7 linked regions of the Mus musculus genome follow. The protein of the gene in region 2 binds, or shares a complex with, the protein of the main gene of each other region. Links are inferred from orthologs where the notes say so. Each region holds a gene or a part of one and is shown on either strand. Other genes may lie near its edges. The genes, in order: Drc3, Iqcg, Efcab2, Fbxl13, Drc7, Iqcd and Drc1.

The links.
Region 1: Iqcg (region 2) and Drc3 share a complex: the UniProt entries of both Homo sapiens proteins name them as parts of the nexin-dynein regulatory complex. The link is inferred for Mus musculus from reciprocal best matches to the Homo sapiens genes DRC9 and DRC3.
Region 3: Iqcg (region 2) and Efcab2 share a complex: the UniProt entries of both Homo sapiens proteins name them as parts of the nexin-dynein regulatory complex. The link is inferred for Mus musculus from reciprocal best matches to the Homo sapiens genes DRC9 and DRC8.
Region 4: Iqcg (region 2) and Fbxl13 share a complex: the UniProt entries of both Homo sapiens proteins name them as parts of the nexin-dynein regulatory complex. The link is inferred for Mus musculus from reciprocal best matches to the Homo sapiens genes DRC9 and FBXL13.
Region 5: Iqcg (region 2) and Drc7 share a complex: the UniProt entries of both Homo sapiens proteins name them as parts of the nexin-dynein regulatory complex. The link is inferred for Mus musculus from reciprocal best matches to the Homo sapiens genes DRC9 and DRC7.
Region 6: Iqcg (region 2) and Iqcd share a complex: the UniProt entries of both Homo sapiens proteins name them as parts of the nexin-dynein regulatory complex. The link is inferred for Mus musculus from reciprocal best matches to the Homo sapiens genes DRC9 and DRC10.
Region 7: Iqcg (region 2) and Drc1 share a complex: the UniProt entries of both Homo sapiens proteins name them as parts of the nexin-dynein regulatory complex. The link is inferred for Mus musculus from reciprocal best matches to the Homo sapiens genes DRC9 and DRC1.

What each region holds. Positions count from the first base shown.
Region 1 is NC_000077.6:60,370,380-60,373,879, reverse strand, and holds part of Drc3 (dynein regulatory complex subunit 3), read right to left. Parts: intron 3,412-3,500; coding exon 3,265-3,411; intron 1-3,264. UniProt on the Homo sapiens protein: Component of the nexin-dynein regulatory complex (N-DRC) a key regulator of ciliary/flagellar motility which maintains the alignment and integrity of the distal axoneme and regulates microtubule sliding in motile axonemes.
Region 2 is NC_000082.6:33,053,387-33,057,628, reverse strand, and holds the start of Iqcg (dynein regulatory complex protein 9), read left to right. Parts: upstream 1-1,442; 5' UTR 1,443-1,478; intron 1,479-1,586; exon of another isoform or gene 1,587-1,672; intron 1,673-3,934; 5' UTR 3,935-3,997; coding exon 3,998-4,005; exon of another isoform or gene 4,006-4,084; intron 4,085-4,242. Other genes in the region: Rpl35a (60S ribosomal protein L35a), read right to left, coding at 87-239, 451-461. UniProt on the Homo sapiens protein: Component of the nexin-dynein regulatory complex (N-DRC), a key regulator of ciliary/flagellar motility which maintains the alignment and integrity of the distal axoneme and regulates microtubule sliding in motile axonemes.
Region 3 is NC_000067.6:178,404,636-178,408,817, forward strand, and holds the start of Efcab2 (dynein regulatory complex protein 8), read left to right. Parts: upstream 1-1,382; 5' UTR 1,383-1,467; coding exon 1,468-1,498; intron 1,499-4,182. UniProt on the Homo sapiens protein: Component of the nexin-dynein regulatory complex (N-DRC), a key regulator of ciliary/flagellar motility which maintains the alignment and integrity of the distal axoneme and regulates microtubule sliding in motile axonemes.
Region 4 is NC_000071.6:21,642,806-21,646,886, reverse strand, and holds the start of Fbxl13 (dynein regulatory complex subunit 6), read left to right. Parts: upstream 1-1,281; 5' UTR 1,282-1,350; coding exon 1,351-1,425; intron 1,426-4,081. Other genes in the region: Armc10 (armadillo repeat-containing protein 10), read right to left, coding at 652-784. UniProt on the Homo sapiens protein: Substrate-recognition component of the SCF (SKP1-CUL1-F-box protein)-type E3 ubiquitin ligase complex.
Region 5 is NC_000074.6:95,068,603-95,072,102, reverse strand, and holds part of Drc7 (dynein regulatory complex subunit 7), read right to left. Parts: intron 1,701-3,500; coding exon 1,628-1,700; intron 863-1,627; coding exon 734-862; intron 561-733; coding exon 432-560; intron 1-431. UniProt on the Homo sapiens protein: Component of the nexin-dynein regulatory complex (N-DRC) a key regulator of ciliary/flagellar motility which maintains the alignment and integrity of the distal axoneme and regulates microtubule sliding in motile axonemes.
Region 6 is NC_000071.6:120,587,842-120,591,822, forward strand, and holds the start of Iqcd (dynein regulatory complex protein 10), read left to right. Parts: upstream 1-1,181; 5' UTR 1,182-1,253; intron 1,254-3,981. UniProt on the Homo sapiens protein: Component of the nexin-dynein regulatory complex (N-DRC), a key regulator of ciliary/flagellar motility which maintains the alignment and integrity of the distal axoneme and regulates microtubule sliding in motile axonemes.
Region 7 is NC_000071.6:30,279,897-30,284,192, reverse strand, and holds the start of Drc1 (dynein regulatory complex protein 1), read right to left. Parts: upstream 2,801-4,296; 5' UTR 2,742-2,800; coding exon 2,587-2,741; intron 1-2,586. UniProt on the Homo sapiens protein: Component of the nexin-dynein regulatory complex (N-DRC) a key regulator of ciliary/flagellar motility which maintains the alignment and integrity of the distal axoneme and regulates microtubule sliding in motile axonemes.

The sequences.
Region 1 (3,500 bases), on a different chromosome or scaffold from region 2:
GTGTGCTCATGACTGTCACCTACCATACCCTGTGTGCACATGACTGTCACCTACCCATACCTTGTGTGCATATGACTGTCACCTACCATACCCTGTGTGCACATGACTGTTATCTACCATACCTTGTGTGCATATGACTGTCACCTCATGCTGCCAGATACCCCCACCCTCCCCTGATCAGACATGAAATGGTGTTTTCTGTACATAAGAAGTTTCCTGCTGTCATAGAAACATAATTGTTTAATTTCAGAAAATACTTTAAATATTTTCCTGCCATTGTCCTTTGGCATATAAGTACCATTAGTATAGTTTTTGGTTGTATTATGTTAGGATGTTTGGTTTTTAAAAATGCTATTTGAGGCCAGGCAGTGGTGGCACATGCCTTTAATCCCAGCACTTGGGAGGCAGAGGCAGGCGGATTTCTGAGTTCCAGGCCAGCCTGGTCTACAGAATGAGTTCCAGGACAGCCAGGCCTCCATGGAAAAACTCTGTCTCAAAAAAACCAAAAAAGAAAAAAAAAAGGCTATTTGAGTTGCTGAAGAGTTTCATTAAATGAATTTTGACTTGGGATTAGGACAGAATCCACCCAAATTAAGATTTTATTATTATTATTATTATTATTATTATTATTATTATTATTATTATATATGCTGTATATGTGTGTGTGTAGAAGCATGAACCAAGGGGCAATGTAAGTGATTTCTCTCCTTCCAGCCTTATGTAGGTTCTGGGGCTTAACCTCAAGTCTCCAGGCTTATATAGCACTGGATACACTCAACTATTTTGCTGAGCCCTCAACAATTTCTGAAATGGCTCTAACATAATTCTACCATTTTATAGTATGTATTTATTCCACACATTTATTCTCATTGAGAATTAAAAAAATCAAAATATTAATCAGCTCTTAAAACCATTGAAGTTTCTCTGCATCTTGTGGTTTATATATCTAGCCAAGATTTAATGTTTGTTTAAGACAGGATCTCTCTACATAGCTCTGGCTGGCCTCATGTTAGAGACAGATCAGGCTGGTCTCAAACCCACAGAAATCTGCCTGCTTCTGCCTCCTAAGTGCTGGAATTAAAGGCACCTGATCTTCGTCTTTTTTTTTTTACATTTAATTTATTTTGTGTACGAATGCTTTGCCTATATGTACACACACACACACACACACACACACACACACACACACGACAACATATAAATGATCAGAGGGCAACTTGTGGAAGTCAGTTCTCTCTGTCCACCATGTGGGGCCTGGGAATTGGTTTCAGGTGCCTTTACTAGCTCAGACATCTTCCTGGACCACGCCTGGCTTTTTAAAAGATTTTGTTTTGTTTTGTTTTGTTTTGGTTTTTGGTTTTTTTTTTTGTTTTGTTTTTGTTTTTTCGAGACAGGGTTTCTCTGTATAGCCCTGGCTGTCCTGGAACTCACTCTGTAGACCAGGCTGGCCTCGAACTCAGAAATCTGCCTGCCTCTGCCTCCCGAGTGCTGGGATTAAAGGCGTGCGCCACCGCACCCGGCTTTTAAAAGATTTTATTTACTTTATGTTATGTGTGTGAGTGTCTGGGCTGAATGATGTCCGTGTATCATCACTGTATCACGTGCATGCTGCACACTGAGGCCAGAAGAGGGACTTGGATTCCTCTAGGGTAGAGTTACAGGAGATTGTGGAGCACCCATGGGTGCTACAAATTGAATCAGGTCTTGTGGAAGAACAGCCAGTGCTCATGACCTCTGAACCATCTCCCCAGCCCCTCACACGTGGCTTTTAAATCTCCTTTCTGGAGATCAAACTTGTGGCAAGCGCTTGGCCTGCGTGAGCTCTAAGCCTGCATTTAACAAAAGGTAAGATTTTATGCATACCAAAGAATTGTTTTAAAATAAAATTCTTTATGATTCATTACTTATAACTGTTTCATCAGCACTTACCCATAGACATGGATATTTTCTCAGGTAAAAAGGGTTTACAAGAGGGGAACATTGTCAGAACCTGCTCTGAGACAGGACTGGGGTTAAAGGCAGTGCTTGTTTGCTTGGTTGGTCTTTAATTTTTTGAGATGAAGTTAGAGTAACTGAGGATGTCCTGAATCTAGCTCAGGCTGCCTCAAACTATTGATCCTCTTGCCTCAGTTTCTTAAATTCTGAGGTTACAGTAGTGTGTCACCATAACCATTGGATTTAAGAATCTCAGAACTAGGGCTGGAGAGATGACTCAGCGGTTAAGAGCACTGACTGCTCTTCCAGAGGTCCTGAGTTCAATTCCAGCAACCACATGGTGGCTCACAACCATCTGTAATGGGATCTGATGCCCTCTTCTGGTGTGTCTGAAGACAGCTACAGTATACTCATATATATAAAATAAATGAATAATTCTCAGAATTAAAAATCTCAGAGCCAGGCACTACATATCTGTAATCCCAGCATTTAGGAAACTGAGGCAGAAGAATCAGGAGTTCAAGGTTATTCTTGGCTGTATAGTTCAAGACCACCCACGCACACATACTGGGAGAACAAGAGAAATACTCAAGTTCATACTTTCACAGGAAAGCCCACTGTAGTCGGAGATGGGGAAGCAGCTCTCTAATTTCTCTTATTTCTGTGAACAGCACTGAGACTGGACTTTGGAAACCAGCTTGTCCCTCAAGGCAGGGCTCTCTATACAAGCTGTAGGTATATCGGCTGTCTGTATTTGGGTAGACACTAGGATAGCATTTCACTGTCCAGATATTCCTTATGGCAAGGAAGAGGTGACAGAGTCAGGAAGAAATGGGTGCGCGCGTGCACACAAACACACACATGCATACACACTATAGCTGGCCCAGCATGGGGATGAAAGACCAACTCCAAGATTAACTGTAACTGACCAGGAGAGTCTTGGTGAGTCGCTTCCCTTGGTTGCCAGCTTATGTGCTTCCAGAAAGATGGGGATGAGAGTGGGGCCCTCCCAGCTTGGAGTGACAACCCTCAGGGAATTGCTATGGAATTGCTCCCAGGCTCATACGAGCCCTGCCACCAGCTCATGATCAAGACAATTTACTGTCCATCTTCCCTCAATCACCTAGAGTCTTCACCTGGTGGGCTGTTGTGTAGAAGCAGCCGAGGCCTGGAAACATACAGGAGATAAGCCTTGGGAGACTATTGCTGGAGTGGCTGTGCACAGGAGGGGAAATGGCTCAGCCAGGAAAACATGCTCTCTTAGCCATGGACAGGGAGAGCGTCTCACTGTCTCATGACTCCCACTGAGAACAGAGCCAGGATGCTTACCATCTGCTCATCAACGCGCCGGAAGTCCAAGTACACGAGGTCAGAAAGATAGGCATAGATGAACATCTTGTACTCCTCTGCCTCAGAAACGGGATTCCCAGCGAGACTGAGTGTTCGCAGGCACGGGAACCGGCGCAGGTAGATGATCTGGGGAGCGGGAAGCAGAGGTGCTTTCCTTGCTGCCACAGAACTGGAACCACATACAACAGCTTCTCCCCTCTACACCCTTCCTGAGT
Region 2 (4,242 bases):
CCAATTTCTCACTAACACCCCTACCTTTTCAGTAGAAAAAACGAGATTAGTCAACCAAAAATTAAAAGGCATGGGAGCATACTTACTTTTTTGCCTTATACACATAAGCACATCTCTTGCCTAAGTAGAACTCCGTTTCATCTCGGGCATAAACGCCTTCAATTTTAAGAAGAGCCGTGTGCTCTCTTTGGTTCCGGAGACCTCGCTTGTAGCCAGCAAAAATGGCCTTGCACCACAGCCTAAGACAACGTTAAGAAAGACATGATGACTACCCCGTTACAACTTTTCATGTATCTTTTAGCAAGCCACCATGATTTGCTTTGTAGCAATTCCTACTCCAGCTATCTACAGCAGACCTCTCGTTCCCCTCCCGCATTACACTGAACTTTAGCTTCGCGTTTAATAGAACGAAACAGAAATGGAGAAAACGACTATTGTGAGATCGCGTACCTTCCAGACATACTTGCTGTTAGAAGTCCTGTTCCCAGCAGGCCTGAAAAACAAAACCGAGAGCTCAACCGAGAGTCATGCAGCACGCATCCCACCTGTCACTATTTCCCGGCGCGAGAGATGGCTTCAGTCGGCGTCCCAAGGATGGGGACCTCTTACCTACGCCCTGCCCCCTATAGAGGCAGAGCCTGGCAAAATACTCAGGGCTCCGACAACCAATGACAACGAACGACTCGGAATCGTGGGCAAAGGCCGGGTGGGAAGGCGACTCACCCGAGACTTAACTTCTCAAACCCCAAAAGGAACCCGGAGGCGAGCTCATGCCTCCATCAGTACAGAAAGCAGCTAACACAGGCGAGATCCGGCTCTGTGCGGGGAACCCAGCTCCCAGGGACCACCGCTCCCCGGGCCAGTAAGACCGGGGGAAATGCACCCATTCTCTCCTCCCGAGCCGGAGATCGACCGAGACCAGCGAGCTCTCCTCCCCCGGCCGGGGCCTCCACACCATCAGCCCGTCATCGCCTCCATCCCGCCCTCCATCCTCCTGGAATCCCCAGAAACCTCTGGCGGTCGGGTTCTCCGAGACGCCAGGTTGTCTCGGTGAGGGATGAAACTAAACGCACCCCAGCAATCGGGCCCCAAAGCTCAGCAGCAGGAACCCCCCTCACCTCCACAGGCGCCAAGATGGCGGAAAGAGGAAGGCAAGCCCCGCCGCGCGGCCTTGTGGGACGCACGCCCCGCCCCTCTCCGCGCTTAGGCCGCTCACACTGCGCCAGAAAGCAAAGGTCAGAGACAGAGAGAGAGGCTCGACTCAGCCAAGCCGCGCTCAAGAACTTTAAATTCTTTCCCTCCTGCCCTTTCGTCTTTGTAAGCGGCAACACGTATTATTTAGGAACAAGGAAAGGCAAAATCGTAGTCGACTAAGAAAGAATCAGGGGTCCTACTTAAAAAAAAAAAAGAGCTTGCGCGACGCGTTGCCATAGCTACCGATTAGTTTGGTTCCCGCCTCCAGCTGGGCTGGTAGAGAGGTAAGGAAAAGTTAAGTGTTTTCTCCTCTTCCTAGAATGGAGACTGGGATCCTACCATATAGGAGAGAAAAACCTGGAGCATGAAGGCAGGAGTTTCTCTTGATTTGTTCTTTTATTTTTTCCCATCTTTAATTTAACAAACAGGGTGTGGTAGCCGTTGCCCGTTAACCTCAGCATTTATTCCGGAGACTGAGGTAGGAGGATCACATCACAAATTCGAGGCTAGGCTAAGTTACATAGCAAGGCCCCATCTTAACAGCAACAAACATCCATGAGGCAAACCGCGGTCCCGGTGCTTGCTTGTAACCCCAGTATTCTAGCTGTGCGAGCAGGTGAATAGGACTTAAAAGACCATCCTCTGCTACATAGGGAGTGCCAGTCAGCCTGAGCTACATGAGACCCCATCTGAAAAAAAGGGAGACGATGTGAGGAAGTGAGAGATAGAAGATATCCTTCCATCCTTTCCCTGACTTGTCGGATGCAGATAAATTTTTTAAAATTCATTTATTTATTATATGTAAGTACACTATATCTGTCTTCAGACACTCCAGAAGAGGGAGCTAGATCTCGTTATGGCTCCATGTGGTTGCTGGGATTTGAACTCTGAACCTTCGGAAGAGCAGTCAGGTGCTCTTACCCACTGAGCCATCTCACCAGCCCACAGATAAATTTAATAGACTCAGATTTACAGTTCCTAACTTGTGCATTAATTAAGGCGAACTGATGGATCCATTCATTTAATCAGAGAGTAATTTATTGAATGACTACCACTACCAAGAATGCTGTAGGCTTGTAGGGCACCAGAGTAAACAGACTAAAACGTCTGCCCTCTTGCAGCCTACATGAGGGAGCAAGGATGGCATGTTGGCTCTGGTGTCTGTAATCCTTGCACTTAGAAGGTTGAAGTATGAAGATTGCTCTGTTTTAGGTCAGTAAGAGGTACATTATGTGTACACAGATATCCTGAGCTACAGAGTAAGAAATCTCATCCTTGCTCCCTCACTCCTCGCAAAAAAAAAAAAAAAAAAAAAACAAGACAACAAGCAGATTAGACATGTGGTATGTTAAAAGGTCAAGACTTCCTTTCTTTTCCTTTTTTTTTTTTTTTTTTTTTTTTTTTTTTTTTTTTTTTTTTGGTTTTTCAAGACAGGGTTTCTCTGTATAACCCTGGCTGTCCTGGAACTCACTCTGTAGACCAGGCTGGCCTCAAATTCAGAAATCCGCCTGCCTCTCCCTCCCGAGTGCTGGGATTAAATGCGTGAGCCACCACCGCCCAGCAAGACTTCCTTTTTAAAAACCTGTTTATGTGTGTGCTTTCAGAGGTCGGAAGATGGCCTCAGACTCTAGAGCTAGATTTTACATGCAACTTGTTATTGTTATTGTTGTTGTTTTGTTTTGAGACAGGGACTAGAGAAATGTCTCAATGTTTAAGGGCATACACTGTTTTTAAAGAGGTCTTCAGTTCAGTTCCCAGCATCTACATCAGGGACTCACAATTACCTATAACTTCAGCGCTAGGAAATCTGCTGTATGCACACAGTGCACATAGAGACAAGCAGGCACATACACATTTTTTTTTAAAGCCATTAACAAGAAGGACAAAGTCTCATGTAGCTTAGGCTGGCCCCAAACTCCCTGTATTGAGCCAAGGATGGCCTCTTCTGACACACCAGAAGAGGGTGTCAGATCTCATTACAAATGGTTGTGAGCTACCATATGATTGCTGGAATTTGAACTCAGGACCCTCTGGAAGAGCACTGATTGCTTTTAACCGCTTAGCCATCTTGTCAGCCCAAACTCGATTTCTCTAAGTCAAGTTACAGTAAATTCTGTTCTCTGATAGAGCAGGGCAGAAATATTTAATTTAATATATAAGTGAGAATAATAGAAGAAATTAAAGAATCAAAAATAAATCTGAAGCTGGGCGTTGGTGGCACATGCCTTTAATCGCAGCACTTGGGAGGCAGAGGCAGGCAGGTTTCTGAGTTCAAGGCCAGCCTGGTCTACAAAGTGAGTTCCAGGACAGCCAGGGCTATACAGAGAAACCCTGTCTTGAAAGAAAAAAAAAAAAAAAAGTTCTCTGTTGATTCACAGTCAAACTCAGAGTACAAGTACACACATTAAAATTGTGTTAGATGTCAATTTACCGTAAAAAGAGGCAAAAGACTACCTTGAGTATAACTTCTGGTTTGATGAACCAGTAATGGAGCCAGCCACTTAGTAAGCCTACATCTACCCTGTCTGGAAAACAACAACAACAAAAACAAGCCTGCATCTTATGAGCCTGCTTCCCTAAGCAGGAGGAGACAAGCTATAGATAGCTCTTGGGATTCTGTGGGGTTTTTGTTTGTTTGTTTGTTTTGTTTTGTTTTCTCTCCTACAAAAAGAGCCTGAGAGTAAAGGGAAAAAAATTAGCATTCCCTGGAACTGATATCAATGTTTCTTTTCTACTTTAGGTTCCTTCATTCTTGTGAAATTATAAATCTAGCCCAGAGGGCAAGGAAAGAAACTGAGGAAGAATGGACGAGTATGTTTCAAGTTCCGGTTTGTTTGTCCCTGTACTGTTGCAATTACGCCATTTGTTGAATTCGGTGGATTACTTTTCGGTAACAATGTAACCAACTAATGTAACGCCCTAAAGTATAAACACCTTCCCATTTCAGCGCTGCTGTGGGGTGGGCGCTTGAGGGCGTTTAGCAAGTGACTCTGGTGTGGGATCTGGGCCAGTTAAGCTTTCCCTGTCTGTGGGACAAAATGTCACACA
Region 3 (4,182 bases), on a different chromosome or scaffold from region 2:
ATAAAATATTAATATAAATTACTCTTCCATATTTTGGGGTGATTAATTTACTGTATGCTTGAGTTCATCTTGGAAGTCTTTCTTTTCTTTCTTTTCCTTTCTTTCTTTCTCTTTCTTTTTGTTTTATTGTTTTGTTTTTGTTTTTGTTTTTGTTTTTTTGAGACAGGGTTTCTCTGTGTAGCCCTGGCTGTCCTGGAACTCACTCTGTAGACCAGGCTGGCCTCGAACTCAGAAATCTGCCTGCCTCTGCCTCCTGAGTGCTGGGGAAATTTGCTTGATATGCACCATTTTCTGATTATTCAAATTGTAGTTAGACACTTCATCAAATCTTTATTGCCTATAGAAAAAAATATTTTAATGAAGAGTACAGTTGGCCTGCTTTGAGGGTTCATTCACTGAGATTACAGAACTTCGATGAATAAAAACTAATAATAAAAAATAAAATACTGAGATGTAAAGTGAATAAATAACTATATTAAAGAAAAATCAAGACAAAACAAAGGCCTCTACATTTAGTTACTTTTACAAAAATATTTAAATAAGTACACATATACCATGAAATTATCATTAAAGATTAAAACTAGATATTAATTTGAGTCACATTGTTAGACATTTCAAAACTGTTGGGTTTTTTTTGTTTGTTTGTTTGTTTGTTTGTTTTGGGGGGGTTTCATTTAAGGGAGAATCTTAGTATTCTGAGCTTATCCATCAAATAACAAAACACGCGATAGCCAAGTTTCTCAGTACTCAAAATTCTCATCGGAAGGTCATGCCAAATTGCACCATCAACATACAAAATGTGTGTATCCCTGAGAACAGACCGTCAATTTATTTGTTGCTATGAGAACACTATTTTGTATCAGAAATTGCAGCCTTGGCGACGCAGTGTTTGCGCCTATTTTGCACATGTTTTTCTACAGCAAGTCCTCTCTCTCTCTCTCTCTCTCTCTCTCTCTCTCTCTCTCTCTCTCTCTCTCTGCGATCCCGGGGAAAGGCTGGGCTTCCTCCTGCACTGGCCCATGTCCGTTTTCGCTCCAGTTCCGTGACTGGCAGAGTGGCTCCGCTCAGGAGAGGGTGACGCCAGAGAGCCACAAGGCCTGGCTCGGGTGGGGTTGGGGTGGGCGGACGCTTTTCGGGGAGGGACCGTGTAAGGGGCCGCCAGGTCTGCGCCCGGTTCTGGGGCGCACCTGAGACGGCCGGGAAAAAAAAAAGCTGAATAAAATAAGTAATTAAAGAAATGAATAAAGAAATAAGCAAGGCACACTACGTCCTTGACAGTCACAATCAGGCCCAGGCGGGTTCCGGAGCCTTGTTAATAAATGACGCCCCTAGGCCCAAAGAACGCGGGCCTCGGTTCTGGTGGGGGCGGGGATCGGGGGGCCACCGTGCATCCAGGGGCTTTCTCCGCCCGCGGGGTCCCGCAGGGTTCGTGCTGGATGTCTCCCGGGCGACCGGCTCCGCACCAAGATGGCGGAGGAAAGGGACGCGGAAGGGACAGGTAGGACCCTGCCTGGGGTGCCACGACGTCGCCTCTGCGCCTGAGGAAGCGCCCCCCGGCCAACATCTTGAGCCCCTCGGCGTGGCGACAGTGGGCTGAAAAGCGGCGCCAGCCCGCGTCCCCACCGTCCGCCCTCCCGTCCCCTCGAGAGGTCTGCGCGGGCTGTTGTAGCCCCCGCCGGGGAGGTTCATAATGGCGTCCTTGTCCCTGGCACCTCCCCTCCCCGTGAGGGCGCCAGCCGCGGTCTGGGTGGGCTGTGGGTAACCCGGAGGGCGGCCTCATGGAGGACTGGAGCTGCGACTAGAACCTGGCGGGATCCTCTGCGGCTGTGCCGAAACCCCGCCCAGCCCGGCCCAACCCGGCCCCAGCCGCCTCCATTTTGCCTCCTCCTCCGCCAGGCGGAGCGCAGCCTCCAGGTCAGACTGGGCCCTAGCGGCCCGGGTCGCGCTAGAGCCTTGCATAAGGAACACGCACTTTAATCACTTTAAAGAAAACCCAGCCGGGACTTGTCGGGCCGCCCAGACCGGCCGGGTACCCGAGAGGCCTCAGGGGACCCGAAAAACTAATGTTTCATGTTGAACTGCAAGACCTTTTGAATTGTTGCTAACCCAGCCGAATGACTTAAAATCGGATCTGTGACTCAACAGCCATTACGTGATAAATTGACAACATCACCGCTAAATAAATAGTCAAGCAAGCCCTAAAATAGTAAATGGCAAACATTGCAAAAAAAGTGAAAGTAACACTCCATCTTTGCTGACTCTCTCCCCTCCCTCTTGTATTCCCCCACCCCCACCCCCACCCTCTGGTTTGGAACACAGTAGTTAGGTTAACAACTAATATTTACACGAGTTGTTTAGTCCATTGTCATGGTGATTACAGGAACCCAGCAGGGAAACTTGAGACCCTAGATTTTTTTTTTTTTTTTTTTTTTGGTTTTGGCTGTCCTGGAACTCACTTTGTAGACCTGGCTGGCCTCGAACTCAGAAATCCGCCTGCTTCTGCCTCCGGAGTGCTGGGATTAAAGGCGTGCGCCACCACTCCTGGCAGCTAGAGATCTTATTGATGACCTGTGATTTATAGATGGTAAAATTAATCTCAGAAGTCGGCATTGTAGTATAGAGTTTTAACTCTACTAAGGTATCAAGATTTTTGTGGTGCTATTTTAGAAATGGAAGGTTTTATTCTACTTTTTTGTTGTTGTTTTTACAAAGAATATGAAGTTAGAGGGCAGGGAGTGTCGGTGAGGTGTTGGGGGAAGGGAAAGAATATGATCAAAATATGTTGTATAAAAAATGTTTTAGGTGAGTCGGGGGTGGTGGTGCACACCTTTAATCCCAGCACTTGGGAGGCAGAGGCAGGCAGATTTCTGAGTTCGAGGCCAGCCTGGTCCTACAAAGTAAGTTCCAGGACAACAAGGGCTACACAGAGAAACCCTGTCTCAAAAAAAAAAAAAAAAAAAAGTTTTAGGTAAAAAAAAAAAAAAAGCTTCCCCAGAAAGTATTTTTTTTTTTTTAGTTATACTTTTATTACCCCCCTCAAAAAAAGTAAAGGAGAAAATCATTAGGGGATGAATTATTTTTTAAATTAATTTACCTTATGTGTATTGGTGTATTGCCTTTGTGTATGTCCTTGTGAGGGTGTCGGATCCCCCAGAACTGGAGTTGCAGATGGTTGTGAGCTGCCATGTGTGTTCTGGGAATTGATCCAGGATTCTCTGGAAGAGCAGGTAGTGCTTCTAACCTCTGAGCCATCTGTTTTTTTGTTTTTTGGGTTTTTTTTTTGTTTTGTTTTGTTTTTTAAACAAAATCTAAATCATTTGGTTTTACCAATGAAAACCCGGGAGCCAGAATCTGTGGTGAAAGTTTGCTAGCTCAGAGAAGCAGAGAAAGCACCCAGCTGACCCTGCTCCTCAGCCAGTGTCCCAGACATTGTTTTTTTTTTTTTTTTTTTTTTTTTAAATAATCCTATGTTTACTCTCTGTCAATTGGTTGCTTGTTCCACCTCTTAACTTATGGTTGACTTTATTTAATTTTGTTTATAATATTCAAGCAGAGAACTCTTGGATAAATGCATATGCTAAAGCTGAAACACACCACAACTAGAGACACAATAGGTGTTATTAACACAGTGGGAACAAATATCCATCTCTCCAGACCCCTCCTTTTCTTTTTAAGTTAAAGACTTATTTAGGGTAGCATTGGAGTATACTGCAAGTTTTTACAATGTAAAATTATACACACACACACACACACACACACACACAACACTTAGGATCTCACCTTGTAGCTTTGATTGGTCTGGAACTCCCAGAGATGCACCTGTCTGCATCTGAGTGAGTGCTGTGACTAAAACTGTGTGCCACCACACCCAGCCTGATTTTTACAGTTGTTATCCCTGCTTGAGAGAGACAGAGACAGACAGAATTTCTGTTTCTTTAGTTTCCAAAACATATTTTAATGTTTAGTGTAAGTTTAGGAGAAAAAACAGTTCAGTCTGCAACTAACTGTGGAAGTAATGGCTGTTGAAAGCTGGATTTCATATATTCAATTTCTTATATATTTAATGCTTGCTTCATGGAAAGTAGTCTGGTGAATGTTAAACCTGAAAATTGTGATGAGGAAGATGGAATCCATGGTTGTCCAACTGAAGTAAGCTTTATTAAATACTGGCCAGGAAGATGG
Region 4 (4,081 bases), on a different chromosome or scaffold from region 2:
TTAAAAACAAATATATTTCTCTACCTTTGAGGCAAGCAGGTATTGGTTGGCAGGTTTTATTTCAAATAGTTTTTCCAACAGTTTTCACGACTTAAGCCATCCTTTTAGAAGGGTGTGTCTCCTGTTGGTTGTGGTTCTTATTCCCAACACACACACCCCGGTTGCAGGGACGCTACGGATGACTTAAAGGTACTTCCCAGGACAGGTGCCACAAAGTGCTGGCAGAATTGCATCTCAGGGATCCATTCTTCACATAGCACGAGCAAAGTTTCAACCCAGGCTTGAGGCCCCTGAGAACCTTCTCACAGTAAGGGGCATCTCTTTGATAACAACACAAAAGCTCAGGTAAAACTTTAAAATGAGAGGCAATCTACTTGGCTCGGAGAAACCTCAGCTCTTGGCTGTGAAGCCGAAGGGAAGTAACAGGACACTTCGGGCAATGTTTTCAGCTCTTATTTTAAACAAAGAAGTGGGAGCAGGGAAGCGGCTCAGGACCCACCCAAGGCAACCTGGGCTTCCAGAGTCGTCTGTCTACCTCCAGCCTTTCTCCCCATGCAGTCGCGGGTGTCTAGGGCACCTCCAACCCAGCCTGGCCTGAGGTGGGTCCGGAGCCCCGAACCAGTCCACCTGCCGGGCAGCCCATCGCCTCACCTGCGGATCGCGAAGGGCGCAGTCGGCGACCGCCTCGCCGCGGTCCCCGAGTCAGCCGGTAGATACAGTAGCAGGCGCCGGCGCCCAGGACCAGCCCTGCTGCCACCCAGCCCACGTCCCGCGCGCCACCCATGCTGCTGCCTCGGAGCTGCAGGGAGCCGAGGAGCCAGGGCCACACGCAGGTGCAGCTGGGCCAGAACCAGCCCAGAGAAAGGAAATGGGGTTGGAGCTCCGCCTTCCGGAAGCCGCCCTGCTAAAATCGGAAGCCCTCCCACCCTGTGTGCTGCGGTTCCTTTCACCAGGCAGGCGGGATGCCCCTAGTGCAAGCAGCTTTTTCCTGGACCAAGACCGGGACTGCGGCGCGTTGAACACAGACCCTAGCTCCGCCCCAACACTCACTCTCCCGTCCAGCCCTCTCATTTTACCCGGCCCCGGCCTGTACTGTCCTGCCCCGCCCCTCCCCGCTCTGCCCCGCCTCTCTGCACTCGCCCCGCCCCTCTCTGCCCCGCCCCTCTGCAATCGCCCCGCCCCGCCCCAGTTGCCCCGCCCCCTCCCTGCTAGGTTCTTTCTTCATCTCGCGAAAGGCTTGGACTATTTGGCACCTCCTTTGTGGTTGCTAGGCAACGCTCCGGCGCGTCTCTCCTCCTCAACGTGAACAGCAGTAACCTATGAAACGCATTCTGAGTCCTGCTTCTGACCATGGCTTCACTACGCAGTGCCACCCCCAGGCTAAGGAGCTACTTCAGGGACAAGTACATTCCTCAAATCTGTGAGGTACTGCAGCCACATAGCCTCTCACACAGTGGGCGCGGGGAAAAACTGGGAGAGGCAAGGAGATTCCCGGAACTGGAGCTAAGAAGGAGCAGGATGGGGAAGCTTGAAGTCAATTTAGGGTAACTAGAGAGAGAAGGGTAGGTTAGAGAAGACCGAAGGGTGCCGGTGGCTAAAACCAAGCCCAGGTGGGGATGACAAAGGAAGGGGACGGGGGAAAGTGACAATCTGCAGGGGGCGCAAAGAGCACAGGGCCTGGGTTGGAATCTCCAAGTGTCAACTACTAAATTCTATTATGGAAGAGCGTCTTGAGCAAGAAGTGAGTGGTGAGCCACTTGAAGACAAAAGACTTGAGGGGTTCTGGGTGTAGGCTTCGCCCCGCCTCGTTGTTAGCAGGAGGGAAGAAGAGTCACCTGCCTCTACACACAGCTTCACAACACACCTTTTTAGAGATCGCCACCAAGCAAAACCTGAGGTCTTGGTTTCAACAAAGAAATGAATTTCGGGGCCAACTTGTATGAAGCAAAGCTGGCTTCATTAAACGCAGGAACAAAGGTGCTCCAGTAGAGAGAGTAGAACACACCTGGTCAGACAATTGCGGGCTTCTGAAGGGAGAGTCGACCTTAAGTGTTGTCTTCACAATGCTGACATCAGTATTTTTTCTTGTGACTTTCAAGGTTACATTTCTAAATGTTGCCAAGAAACTACTACCCCTTTTCTTTTTCTTTCTTAATTTCTTTATTCACTTACTTCCCGATTGCAGCCCACCCCTCTCCTCCCCTCCCAGTCCCTTACAAGCCCCTCCCCCACTACCCCCTTCCCCCTATCAGAGGAGAAGGGAAAACCCTCCTTGGGTACCACCCCAGAGTCCCAGAAGGATAAACATTCCCCTTTTATTAACATCACCCAAAGAGTATAGTCTGTAACAAAGTTAGATTAAAAACCGAAGTTTCTTTTTCTCTCAGTAACTAACATATAGTGCATTTATGAACAGCTTCATTTAGTTCTGGGAGTGGGGAGGCCAGGAATTCAAGATAATGTGTCATTTTGACCTTATGTAAGCAGAGCCTAATTACTGGCCTCGACATCCTTGGTTGAAGTGTCTGGAGATACAGCACCCAGCCTCAAGTGAGCACAGTTGAAGTCCATTAGGTTCTTACCCGCAGACTTAAAGTCCTTTCTGAGCAGTGAAAGTAGATCAGTTCTGAAGGAGCAGGGTTTCCTCCTCTACCTCCGCCTCCAGTCCCCTCCAGTCCCCTCCAGTCCCCTCATTCTGCCCTGCCTCGGGAGGACAGTATGGTATTGAAAACCAGGTTTTGTACTCCTGGGGGCAGGGAGCTGAGAAATCACTGGTGACTCCCATTTATCTGTATGTTATGTTACGCGGTGTATGTTATGTGGTGATACAGCGGGAGTTCTGAAATGGGGCGAATGAGGGAGTTCTAAGGGAGAGAGAAGAGTGCCATTCAACCTCCAGGGCAATTGGGCACAACACTTCCTTTTAGGATGGCTTTTCCCCGTGATTTTATCCAGATGATCCCTTCAGTCACCTCTGCTCACACATTAACAGCAGGGGCAAGACAGGTTTTGGGCACACTCATTCACTTTCCCTCAGACCATTAAGGTGACTTCTATTCTGCCAGGTCTCTCTGTACTTTGTACTTGTTGCAGTTATCTATGCATGTTTGACCTCTTCTGAACATTGCCTGTGTGTTCTAAGTAAACCTAGTTGTCCATCCACAACACTGTTTCCCTACAAACCTGTGTACACTCTGATAAAGGAAAAACCCAAACCAAAGCCTACCCATGCCAGTGGTTTGTAATGGTTTGTAAACTCTTACTTGCCAGGGAGACTGAGGCTGAAGCTTGCTTGAGCCCAGGCATAGGGATGGTAAGACTCAAAAATAAAAAACACAACCAAAAAATAAGCAAAATAAAACCTCAACACCAAACCAAACCAAACCAAAACCACAACACTTGCCTGATCTACTAAGCTTATTGAATCTGCTGATTGATATTTAATTTTCATTGGTTTTGGAACCAATTACTTAAATCTATTGTTATTTTTACCCAATTCTTTTCTATTATAGGAATCCAATCATGAATATAATAAAATTCTACCCTTGTCCTCTGTTTTAGCTTTTGTCCAGCTACCTCTTTTTTGTCTTCTGGATGATATTTTGGATATTTTTCATTGACTTATTTAGTGGATTGCTAACTTTACTAATTCTGCTTTTTGTTACATCTCATCCCATCTGTTGAATACAATAAGTGAAATCTTAATTGTAGATAATGTATTTTTCAGTCTTGGAATGCCCATTGATTCCTTTTAATGCATTCCACTTATTAAAATTATAAAGATACTTTTTCATCTATTTTGCTATAATCTCCTGTTTTCAAACATGTTAATGATTGTTTTGTAAAAATCACTCTCTGGAAAGCTGGTCACACATGTCTATAATCCCAGTTCTTGGGGAGCTAGGACAAGAGGCTTGCTTTGAGGCCAGGCTGGGCCACATGTTGAGTTCAAGACACTTGGTAAGCCTGAATAAAACAAAAACAAGAAGAAACACAGGTTCCTTCAACATCTGGATAATTTTTGGGTCTGTTGTCTGTTGTTTCTTTTCTTCCAGTAATTACCTCTACACACTGAGTGATT
Region 5 (3,500 bases), on a different chromosome or scaffold from region 2:
CACGTTCTTTCTTTCCCCTCTTCCCGACCTCATGGACTCCTAGCCATAGAGCCATACAGTGGCCACTCTGCTCCTACGTTGCCTCTTTGGTGGTGCTAGTTGGCTTTATGGCCCAGCATTCTTAGACCCTTTACATGTGGCCCATATCATGTACCCTCTGGAGGAGATTCCGGCCTGATCCCAGGCACAGAACAGCATGTGGCCCTGGCTTTGACTTTCCTAGAGAGCCGATGGTCATGGTGTCTTCCCTTTCTGGGCTTCCTCAGCTGACCACACACCACCTTATCTTACAGAGTCAGAGGTAATGCCCATGCTTGCCACCCAAGGCCCTCCGTGATGCCTAGGGTCGGTTCTTCCCATCAGTGTCATCGTATGTAAACGCCCCTCCCCAACCACGGCCCTTGGTCTGCCCAGCCAGGGGATCCACACACCACACAGAGCTTGGGGATGGCCTGGCTTGAAGTAGTCCACGTGCAGGCCTGTGGTCTTGTTGATGTGCTTCAGCTCTAGCATATCCTCCCGGTTCTGGTACCACTCCTTTATCTCTAGAACCTTTGTGCCTGTGGGGACACAGAGATGGTTGCTGCAGGCAGACCAGCTCCTCTGGCCTCTGCCATACACACACACACACACACACACACACACACACACACACACTAGAACTGATTTACCCGGAGTCACCAAGCACGGCATCTCCTTGTTTTCCCCATTCCGTGCCCCCAAGGTGCCTTACACTGTTGGTCCTCGTAGGTGGTGAGGCGACACACCAGGCCGTTGTTGTTGAGGTATGGGGACCACTTCTCCAGCTGTGCCTTCTTGTACTGTATCACTTTCTTCCCACTGGGACAACGGGTCTCAAACTCTGTGGATGTAGAGGGAGCTGGGGTCTTTCCTTCCACCCCTTCCTGGATGCTTGTCCATTGTCTGTGTTGCCTATAAAGTGCCTCCAGGCCCAGAACCAGCTCCAAGGAGGAAGAAAATACCTGCCAGTGCTGGCTTCAACTCTTCCCAAGGTATTCTTGGGCGAGCCAGCATCCCAGGGCTACCTGAGAATCATATCTGTGATCCAGCCACTCCTTTCCCCTGCCAGGCCTTCACCACTGAGAATAATGTGCTAGAAAGACATCTGATCCTTCAAAACCCAGCCCCAATGACTACTACCTCTTAAGACCCATTTTGCCTCCATGCCTTATCTAGGATGTAATGGGTGCTCCTACCCCAGGGTTCATGACCACTTCTGTAGCACTTTGCCACCTGCTGGAACAGCCTATGCCCTTCTTCTGATCTAGGCATTTCCAGGTGGGCATATGTAGACATTGGGCAAAGGATAACCCAGCCTCTTGCCTTCTTTGCCTATTTTTTTCCTGTGGCCTGGCCCCATGGCACCATATACTCCATGTTCTGCCCATGGCCTCCTCTGAACAGGGGATCCGGGGAAAGGGAAGAAAGAGACCATGTCCCCGGACCTCGGTGCTCATAATGGTAACAGTCCAGTTGTGTGGCAGGTAGGGTCAGGCTCTGAGTACAGAGCTGGCAGGGTGTTGAGAGGGGCTGGGAAGAAGGGCCCAGGAAGCCTCTACGGCTCCTCTGCTGAGCTGTGGGCTGAGAACCAGTGAGTGACAGAGACCTTCTGGGGTGATCTCAATCTGGGAGACCCACGAAGACGGCATGTCAAAGCTCTTATCCTCCTCTTCTTTGCCCTGTGAGGAAAAGAGGTGGTTGCTGGCCAGGGCCTTGGAGCAGAGGCCATGGCACAGTTCTGTTCCCCTACCCCAGACCCAGACTTGCTAAGGGGGCTGTCAGTTTCCCCGGAAGAGCAAGAAGTCAGAAGATGACCCAGGTTAGGGGAGGAGAGGAGTAGGTTTGGGTGGACCCCTACTCCCTCTTTGCGTGGTCTAAGATGGTAGCACTGGTTCTCATGCCAAACCACCTGCAGCCATAATGGCTACTCAGAGAGGGGATCCTGAGTCAGAGGGAGTACAGTCTTTGACTGTACCTAGCACCAGGTAAGGAGGGCTGGGTAAGTTTTCCATCCACTCTTAAGCCTAGGTTTCCTTAGCTGTTTACTGGGCCTCTTGGGAGGACTAATAGATATTGTGAATAAGTCTTGGGCCCTGCATGGCTGTTCTTCCCTGGTCTGTGAAATAAGGCCTGGTCTAGACAAGTGATCCTCAGACCCAGCTCAAGATTTCCTGTGTATATACTTTTGCCAGAAACAATGCTCAGGCCTTGGGTGCTTGCTCATCTAATTGTGACTTCTTTTGAGATCACACAAGGTGATCGATGGGTTGGCGGCAAGCAATAGTAACTTTTTTGAGACAGCCCAGGAATCCCAGGTCTGGCCCTGCAGCTGAGGGCTGATTCTCAGGATCTATCATCTGTCCATGATGGAGGGACCAGGATTCCCATTCCAGGGATGTGACAGGGCTTCCAGAAGGAGCAGGCTCCTGAGTTGAAGGGTACATAGCCCACAGCCAGCAGGGACACCAGTGCTCAGAATCAAGGAGAAGGAGAACAGGGCCACTTCAGTCATTCTTGTTGTGTTGTTGTTGTTGTTGTTTGTTGTTTGTCGTTTGTTTTTCTTCTTGAGACAGGGTTTCTCTGTATAGTCCTGGCTGCCCTGGAACTCACTTTGTAGACCAGGCTGGCCTCGAACTCAGAAATCCACCTGCCACTGCCTCCCGAGTGCTGGGATTAAAGGCGTGAGCCACCACCGCCCAGCTGGCCTCAGTCATTCTTAGGCAGCCGTCAGAGCTGAATAATCACCCCCCTGAGAAGGCAGCCAGACTGTTGGGGTTTGGTTCCTAGCTCTCACTTATTGGGTGAGACACCTTTGGTGTCTCCTTTTGCTCTGCTGTGTATAAGCTGTCCTCAGCTACCCAGGAAGCGGGGATTTAAATGAGTGAACTCAGATTCTGCGGCAGGAGCAGAACCTGTCCCCGCAGTGTTGCCTGTTGATGTGGGCTTCCTCAACCTACCTCTAAAATCATATGCTAAAGTATACACACACACACACACACACACACACACACACACACACACCGCCCCAGTAACTATGAATCCTGTTGCATTTGGAAGTACGGACTTTATGGGTAAGGCAATGGAGTCTAAATTGGGTCTTCAGGTGGTTCTATTGCAATATGCTAAGTGTCCTTATGAGATAAAGGACACAGATTCAGAGAGAGAGAGTCAGATAAAGCTACAGTGCTCATGGCTACCAGCAAACCCAGAGGAATTTGGAAGAAACCAGCCCTGCCAGCAGCACCTTTGATCCTGAATTTCCAGCCTCTGGGAGTGTGGAACTTCCACTTTGTAGTACTCCCTTATGGCAATGCTAGGCGACTGATACACCTGTTATTGTTGCTATGGATACCAAACACAGTGACCCTCACCCTAGTTTTACACATAAAGGAGACATGGAAGATTCCTAAAGCAGGGGGAATTTGCCTCCTAGTCTCTCCTTTCTCCATGTAGGAAGTACCCCACCACCACCCCCACAC
Region 6 (3,981 bases), on a different chromosome or scaffold from region 2:
TTCCTAGAAACTGCACTCCACTTAGGCGAAATCCACCAACCGCTTTCTTGTTTTTTGTCTTTGGTGGTAGGGATATCCCTATGGAGCTTTGAAGCTTTGAAGTTGCCATTCTCCTGCCTTTGCCTCCTGAAGAGCCTATGACTTTTCAAAGAGAAAGAAACGGGGCCCAGAGAGGGTAAGTAAACTGTCCAAGGTCACACAGCAGACTCGGAGCTCCTAAGGTCCAGCCCTTTGGCAGACCTTGGTTCTCTCTCTAGCGGAGACCCAGCGAGTCACCCCTGGGGTAAGGTCACCCCTGGAAGAAGGTCCCGGAATCAGATAGCTAGCTGCCATCCTGCGATCTGTCCCCTGAGGCAGACTGACCCAGGCAGGAGTCCCCGGCCAGGTCACAAGAGGACACAGCAGGGAGGTGAGCAGGGAGGAAGGGTCGCTCGGGGGCTCTAGCTCCCCACGATCCCCATCGCGATCCGGGTCGCCCCAGGAAGTCAGGCCAAAGAAAAGGGGTGCAGAGAGAAGGGGATCCGCAAGGAGAGAGCATGCCGGCCACCTCCCAGGGCCCCGCCTCGGGCTTCTGGAGCACTCAGCCCCAGCCCCTTCTCTGCACCTTCTGACCCCTGACCCTTGCCCTCGGGCCAAGATCGCGCACCCCTCGGATCCTTACACGCGCCGTCCCGGGATCCCGCACTGTGCACTGGGTCTGCACAGCGTAGCTCAGCCCGCAGTTGCCGCCGCCAATATCCCCAGCGCGGAGCCTCAGCAGCCGCCACCGCCGCCTCACCGCTGCCACAGCGGCAGCTGCGCCAGCCTTCGCATCCGCCGACTCCTGTCACTCAGCCCCGAAAGCCCCGCCCACGGCCCTAGGCCACAGCCTACTGGCCATCAGAGGGGTCGCAATGAAATTTGACAGGGTAGACTACACGTCACTCAGCGTTCTCACAGCCCTCCTCCCAAAGGGAGGGCGGGGCGAGGAAGCAACACCCCTTTCCTCCCCACCCCACCCCCACCCCCGCCTCACTCGCGCAACCAACAGGAATCCTGCGTCTTTCCATTGGCGAAACGTCAGAGAGGCGGGGATTTTGATTGGCCATCTTTCAGGAGGCGGAGCCAACGCAACCCGATTCGAAGTTAAATGGTGAAAAAGAATGTCAGTCAAACTCAAAGTCCCGCCTTCTAAGAGTGGCTCGTAACCTAGCAACATAAGGGCCGCCGAGTTGCTTAACTGTGGGCCAAGAAACTTGCATCTTGAGGAGCTGGTGAGTGACAGCGGGGAAGCCCCAGGCTGCAGGCTGTGTGCACCTAGTAGGCACGCCGTCCAGTGATTTCTCCCCTCCAGGCGTCCGCGCCCCACTTGCCATCCCGTCCAGCTCCAGGTCCTCACTCCCTTGCCCAACCTCCATCCTGTCCTCCTCTAGGCCTCCTGCAAGCACCATCAAGTATCCTCTTCTGATAGTCTTGCTTCCTGTCTGGTCCACCTGCCATTTCATAGTCCCTCTCCTCATCTCTTACTGATACCATTTGTGAAGTTCACATCGAGTGAACTTAGTTCAAGTAATTGGATGGGTTGGTTTGTTTTGGTGCCCACTGTCCGCACTATGTTCAGAGGTCAGCTTGCTGGGTGCGTGACCCCCTTCAGTGTATGCTTAAAATAAGGATTTGTTGTTTGTTTTGATTTTGGAACAAGGTCTCACTATGTAGTCTCGAACTCACTCTGTAGACCAGGCTAGCCTCAGACTCACAGAGATCCACCAGTCTTTGCCTTTGAGTACTGGGATTAAAAGCATGTGCCACCACCCTTGGTCTAATTAGGTTTTTTCCCCTTTAATTGTTAAAGTTTTATTATCATTATTAATATTATTATCACTATGTCTGCGTTGGTGGGGTATGTGAATGTGAATACAGACAAAGGGTTTTGGATCCTCTGGAGCTAAAATTAATTACGGGTGGGCAGTTGTGAGCCACCTGTCATAGGTGCAGGGGACTAAACTCTAGTCCTTTCAAAAAGCCGTACACGCTCTTTTAAAATAACGTAAAGCTTTATTTATTTTTACTTTATATGTATCTGTGGGTGCCTACGTGTATGTGAGTGCACAAGGTATGTTCACAACGTGTGTGTGCTGTGACTGCCAGGCTAATTGCAGTGATCCCCGCCACGACTTATTCTACCCTAACTCCCTCTGTCTAAGCATTTCCTAGGACATTCTCTTGGCTCATACAACGAATAATTCACATATTTAACATGGGCTTATTGAGTGCTTAGTGTGTGTCTTAGTTAGGTTTTGACTGCTCGCTTTACACCTTGACCAAGGCAACTCTTGTAAGGACAACATTTATTTGGGGCTGGCTCACAGGTTCAGAGGTTCAGTCCATTATCATCAAGGTGGGAGCATGGCAGCATCCAGGCAGGCATGGTGCAGGACGAACTGAGAATTCTACATCTTCATCTGAAGGCTGCTAGCGGAAGACTGACTTCCAGGCAGCTAGGATGAAGGTCTTTTGTTTGTTTGTTCTTGTTTTTCGAGACAGGGTTTCTCTGTATAACCCTGGCTGTCCTGGAACTCGCTTTATAGGCCAGGCTGGCCTCGAACTCAGAAATCCGCCAGCCTCTGCCTCCAGAGTGCTAGGATCAAAGGTGTGCGCCACCACGCCCAGTTTAGGATGAAGGTCTTAAAGCCCACACCCACAGTGACGCACCTACAACAAGGCCACACCCACTCCAACAGGGCCACACCCACTCCAGCAAGGCCACACCTACTCCAACAGGGCGTTCTAAAAGTGCCACTCCCTGGGCCGGGCATATATAAACCATAACAGTATGGTTAGTGACGGCAGTCTGAGTTGCATGAAATCCTGTCTGAAATGGGAGGGCTGGAATGATAGCTTAGACATTTAGACATTACACTGTTTTTGTAGAGGGCCCTCAGTTCCTAGCATTCATGAGTCACAACTGCCTGTAACTCGACTTCAGGTGATCCAGCGCCCTCTACTGGCCCAAAAGACACCTGCACTCATGAACATCATGCATGCACGCATGCATGCACGCGCACGCACACACACTTTTTCTTTGAGGTCCTAGTGAGAGTTCTTGGAATTAAAAGTGATTAAAAATCAAGAACACTTGAAACAGAACATCAGGGTAAAGTATCTCTGAACTTCAGCTTTTATTATAGCAACGGGCTAGATCCTGTAGCCAATGAAAATATTTTAACCTGAATGCTCTCAAATGCAGGAAACTTTTTCCTTTTAATGGACAAAGAAATGCATCTCCTCTTCTACTCTCAGTGCAGGCTTAATTATTGAAAGAATAACGCGGGTTCACACTGCACCAAACACCAGGCAAATACGAAGTCTGTGCTTCCTCTATTAATTATGTTGATATCTTATACTCTGGTAACTAATATTTTTTAAAGATGAAGGGTTTATTTTCTTATTCTGTGTGTCACACCTGGCTCTTACATGAGTATGAAGGAGCTTCAGATTCAAGCATTTTACTGACAGAGCCATTTCTCTAGCCTGCATTTTAAGTTCTGTTTTATTTACTTCCTGTGTGTACGTGTGTGCATGTGTATGTGTTGTGGATATGTATTCATGTGTGTATGTGTGTGTGCACGATATGTATGTATGCATATGCATGTGGATGTGTGTATAAGGATGTGCATGTATTGTGTATTGTGTGCATGTGGATGCATGTGCATGTGTGTGTATGTGTGCATGCATGCTTGTTCACTTATGCATGCATGTGTGTGTGTGCATGTGTATATGCATGTATATGTGTATTCATGTGATTATATGTGTATGTATGCCTGGCAGTGGTGGCGCATGCCTTTAATCCCAGCACTTGGAAGGCAGAGGCAGGCAGATTTCTGAGTTCGAGGCCAGCCTGGTCTACAGAGTGAGTTCCAGGACAGCCAGAGCTACACAGAGAAACCTGTCTTGAAAAACCAAAAAAAAAAAAAAAAGTGTATATGTGTGTGTGTGCATGTG
Region 7 (4,296 bases), on a different chromosome or scaffold from region 2:
AATAATATTTATCTATTCATTTGTCTTGTGTGTGTGTGTGTGTGTGTGTGTGTGTGTGTGTGTATGTGTGTGTGTGTACTCAAACCATGGCACACATATAGAGGTCACACTGTCTTCTGTTCAAACAGCCAATCAGAAGCATCCATCACATTCAACTTCAAAATTTGTCCTGCGTCCATCTGCTTCTCTCTAGATTATTGACACAGAGTCCAGGCCAATCCCGTGCCTCACCAGAACCAGAGTAGTGTCTCCTTCCTGCTCGGGTCTCCTCAGTCACACCTCCAGCCCCTTTACACCAGTCCCCAAAACAGTGAGCTGAATAATTTGAAGGTGAAAGTGACGCTCTGCCCATCAGGAAAGTGGCCTTAATTTTGTTTAGACATTATCACATGCTATTATCACACCCAACAAATATCTCCCCACCCCAACCCCTACAAGACAGAATTTCTCTTTGTAGCCCTGGACATCCTGGAACTCTCTTTGTAGACTAAGCTGGCCTTGAACTCAGAGATCCTCCTGCCTCTACCTCCCAAGTGCTGGGAATAAAGGTGTGTGCCACCACGCCTGACAATGTCTTAAAGTAACCCAGCAGTGCCTCCTTACAAAGCTAGCTTTTTCTCAAGCTCCAAGCTATCCTTTCTAGCTGCCTGGCTTTAGGGCCTACTCCCAGGAGTCTCCTCTCCCCTTGCTGTCCTTGTCATAGATCATAGTTATAGGGACACTTGTCCTCTCTCTCTCATTAGAATATAAACTTCCTGCACATCACTGAATTCCCAGTCTCTTTGGGTTTTTTTTTTTTTGCTTGTTTGTTTGTTTGCTTTGCTTTTTTGTTTTTGTTTGTTTGTTTTGGTTTTTCGAGACAGGGTTTCTCTGTATAGCCCTGGCTGTCCTGGAACCCACTCTGTACACCAGGCTGGCCTCGAACTCAGAAATCTGCCTGCCTCTGCTTCCAAGTGCTAGGATTAAAGGCGTGCGCCACCACCACCTGGCCTGCTTTTTTGTTTTTGTTTTTGTTTTGTTTTTAAGGTTTATTTATTATTATATGTAAGCACACTATAGCTGTCTTCAGACACACCAAAAGAGCACATCAGATCTCATTACGGATGGTTGTGAGCCACCATGTGGTTGCTGTGATTTGAACTCAGGGCCTTCAGAAGAGCAGTCAGAGTTCTTAACCACTGAGCCATCTCTCCAGCCCCCCAGTCTCCTTGTTAAACACCACAGCAACAACCAAGACCATGATCCTCGGACAGCTTTGGAGATGGATAAATGTGGCATCACTTGGAGACAAGTAGAAGAGCAGATAAGAGTCCAGTTCATCTGTTAGCCAAACAGCAGCAACAGACAAGCTTACTAAGGATGCTTCTGCCTTGCCCAGTTCCTGAACCAACCCCAGTTCTCATCCCAGAACCTCCTAACCAAAGAGGTGGCAGGGATCCCAGGAGGAAGAACAGAGAACACAATGCAAATACATAATGTAGTGAGGCTCCTAGCCTTTCCCCAAGGGGATTGAAGGTCATCAGGGAACTGTCAGGGAAGGGGATACCCAGACAGTGTTAGGACAATTAAAAACAGATCTGAGTTACCATGACAACAAGAGATGCTAACCATGATCACAGCCTTGCCCAACTAGGATGGAGGCACACAGACCTCCATCTTGTACTTCTGCTGGGTCTGTAGACCACCAAAAGTAAAAGTGGAATGAACGACTTAGAAGTTGAACAACTGTCACATGAAGTCTGGTGACTAGTGGATGTCCCTTAAACTTTACCTAAGCTAATAAAGACACCAAAGCCTAGGGAACATGGTGGGAATGCAAGTGTGGTGGCTCCTATCACATCCCCTCTTAATTCACAGGTCTGGCACTTGCAGTACCTGGATGGATTCTAGACAATGATCATCAATGTCCGCAAGCACAAGCAAGCAGCCACCCCGCCTTTGCTACAGTAGATCCGTCGACATGGCCTTGGGCCCAGGGAGTGTGGCCACTAAGTGAAATGAAAGCTTTTACTCTTATTTTATTTTTATTTTGAGGTGTCAAGGCCTTCCTACGTAGACTAGGCTAGCCTTGATCTCAAAGAGATTTGCCTGCCTCTGCCACTCCAGTACTGAGATTAAAGGCATAAGCCACTAACCTGGCTTTATTTTATTTTATTTTTTAATTTTAAAATGGATCAAGATGCTCATATCTGTGTGGAACACACAATCACATATGCTCACTGGCTGTGATAAGGTATTCTCAGTAGAATGGGGATAACCGACTCTTTCACAGATCGCGGTCCATTACATCTCGTCAACAAACTCTAGCCTCTGGAATAAATCTGACCTAGAACTTTTTTATTTTTATTTTCAAATATTGGGACAGGGTCTCATTATGTAGCCCTAGCTGTCCCAAAACTCACTGCTTGAATGTTCTAGAAGAAAAGTTTTTCTGTTTACACCCAGGGCGCGCGCGCGCACACACACACACACACACACACACACACACACACACACACCTTACCATGGAGCTCCCACCCAGCCCGGCCCCAGCTCCCTGCAGGGCACTCTGGGCTCCCCATCGCACCACCCGGCCACCCAGCTCACCGCCTTCGGGCTTCCTGACGAGCAGCGATGCGCAGGCGCCGGGCCTGGATCCGCTCCTGCGGGTTATCCGAATGCACCGAGGGTCCGAGAATCGGGGTGGCTAAGTGTTCTTCCCCATTCTGCTCTAGGACCCCAATGGTTCCTGAGGGATTCATGGCGGCGTCTCCCACCCACTGGCAGCTCCGCCTGGACCAGCAGCCGGGTTGCTAGGAACAAGCCGTTGCCAAGGGAAAGCAGTCACCTGACCCATCTCTGGCTAGCTGTCGCGCGGCGCTCCAGCCCAGCTTCTCTGTCAGGCACTACGAGTTGTATATTTGTATCCCAAATGTGGACTTGATTCCCCTTGCCTGAAGTTGGTTTGGAGGGGCTGACTTGACCCCACGAAGGCAGATGGAACAAACCGCACCGCATCTCTTTCTGACTCAAAAGCCCAATTCATCATCCACCTTACCAAATGAATATTCCTAAAAGGCACTTTGCTCCAAAATAACTGAGTACCTGCAACATGAAAAGCATTGTATTATATAGCTAGAGACAGTGGCGTCCTTTCCTTAAGCTGAGTGGGAGACCACCTCAGCCCATTGCAGTTTTGGAAGTGTGAACTCAAGTACACTCATCATCTGTAGCCATGACCGAAAAAGAGGTGGGTTCAGGAGAATGGTTGGGGGGGGGGGGGCGGGGAAGAACCCAGGACACCACCGCTCTCTCAAAGCAGCAGTCTGCGGGGGCGGGGGGGGGGACATCATGCCTTAGGCACCGTGTGTCCCCTTGTCAACAAAATAATGTCCTGGGGCCAGAGAGAAGGCTCAGCAGTCAATGTTTATGGCCAAGGAGAGTGACCAACTGAGTTCAATCCTTTAGGCCCACACTATGGAAAAAGTACCAGTACTGATAAATTGTCCTTTGACCTTCACATGCCACAGTGGCATATGGGCACACAAAATCATAGGTGTAAAAAGTGGTTTTTTTTTTGTTGTTGTTTTTTAATGTTCTCTTTAAGAATTAAAACTATGCCTGTGGGCTTGTGGTACGGCTCAATGGTAAAGGGTTTACCTACACCAGTTGGTTCGTTGGAGCACCTTGGACAGGACACACAAAACAAAACAAAAACACCACTCCTGTAATCCCAGAACTCAGGATTGTGTTCCAGGTCATCCTGGAACACAATGAGACTCCATTTCTAAACTAAATTAAAATAAGAAATGTAAAGCCCTATACCAAAATAATAATAATAATAATACCCACCCTTATAATAATAATACACACAGACATGCAGACATAGTGGTTCACAATCAGCCCTCTGGGAGGCTGAGATAGGAAGACTGTAAAGTTCTAGGCCAAGCAGGGCTACATTTCAAGACACTATCCCTAATGCAAACCACTCGACAGTTTTATTTTTGTAGCATTGGAGACTGAACTTAGGGACTCAGACATGCTAGACATTCCTTGATGATGAAGGGGTTTTATGGCTTAGGGAAGTTGCAATGCAAGAATGAGTTTGCTGCTGGGGGTGGTGGCACACGCCTTTAATCCCAGCACTCAGGAGGCAGAGGCAGGCGGATTTCTGAGTTCGAGGCCAGCCTGGCCTACAAAGTGAGTTCCAGGACAGCCAAGGCTACAGAGAAACCCTGTCTCGAAAAAAAAAAAAAAAAAAAAAGAATGAGTTTGCTGTGTAAAACCTAATCCTCTATAATAGGAAAGCCCAGAAGA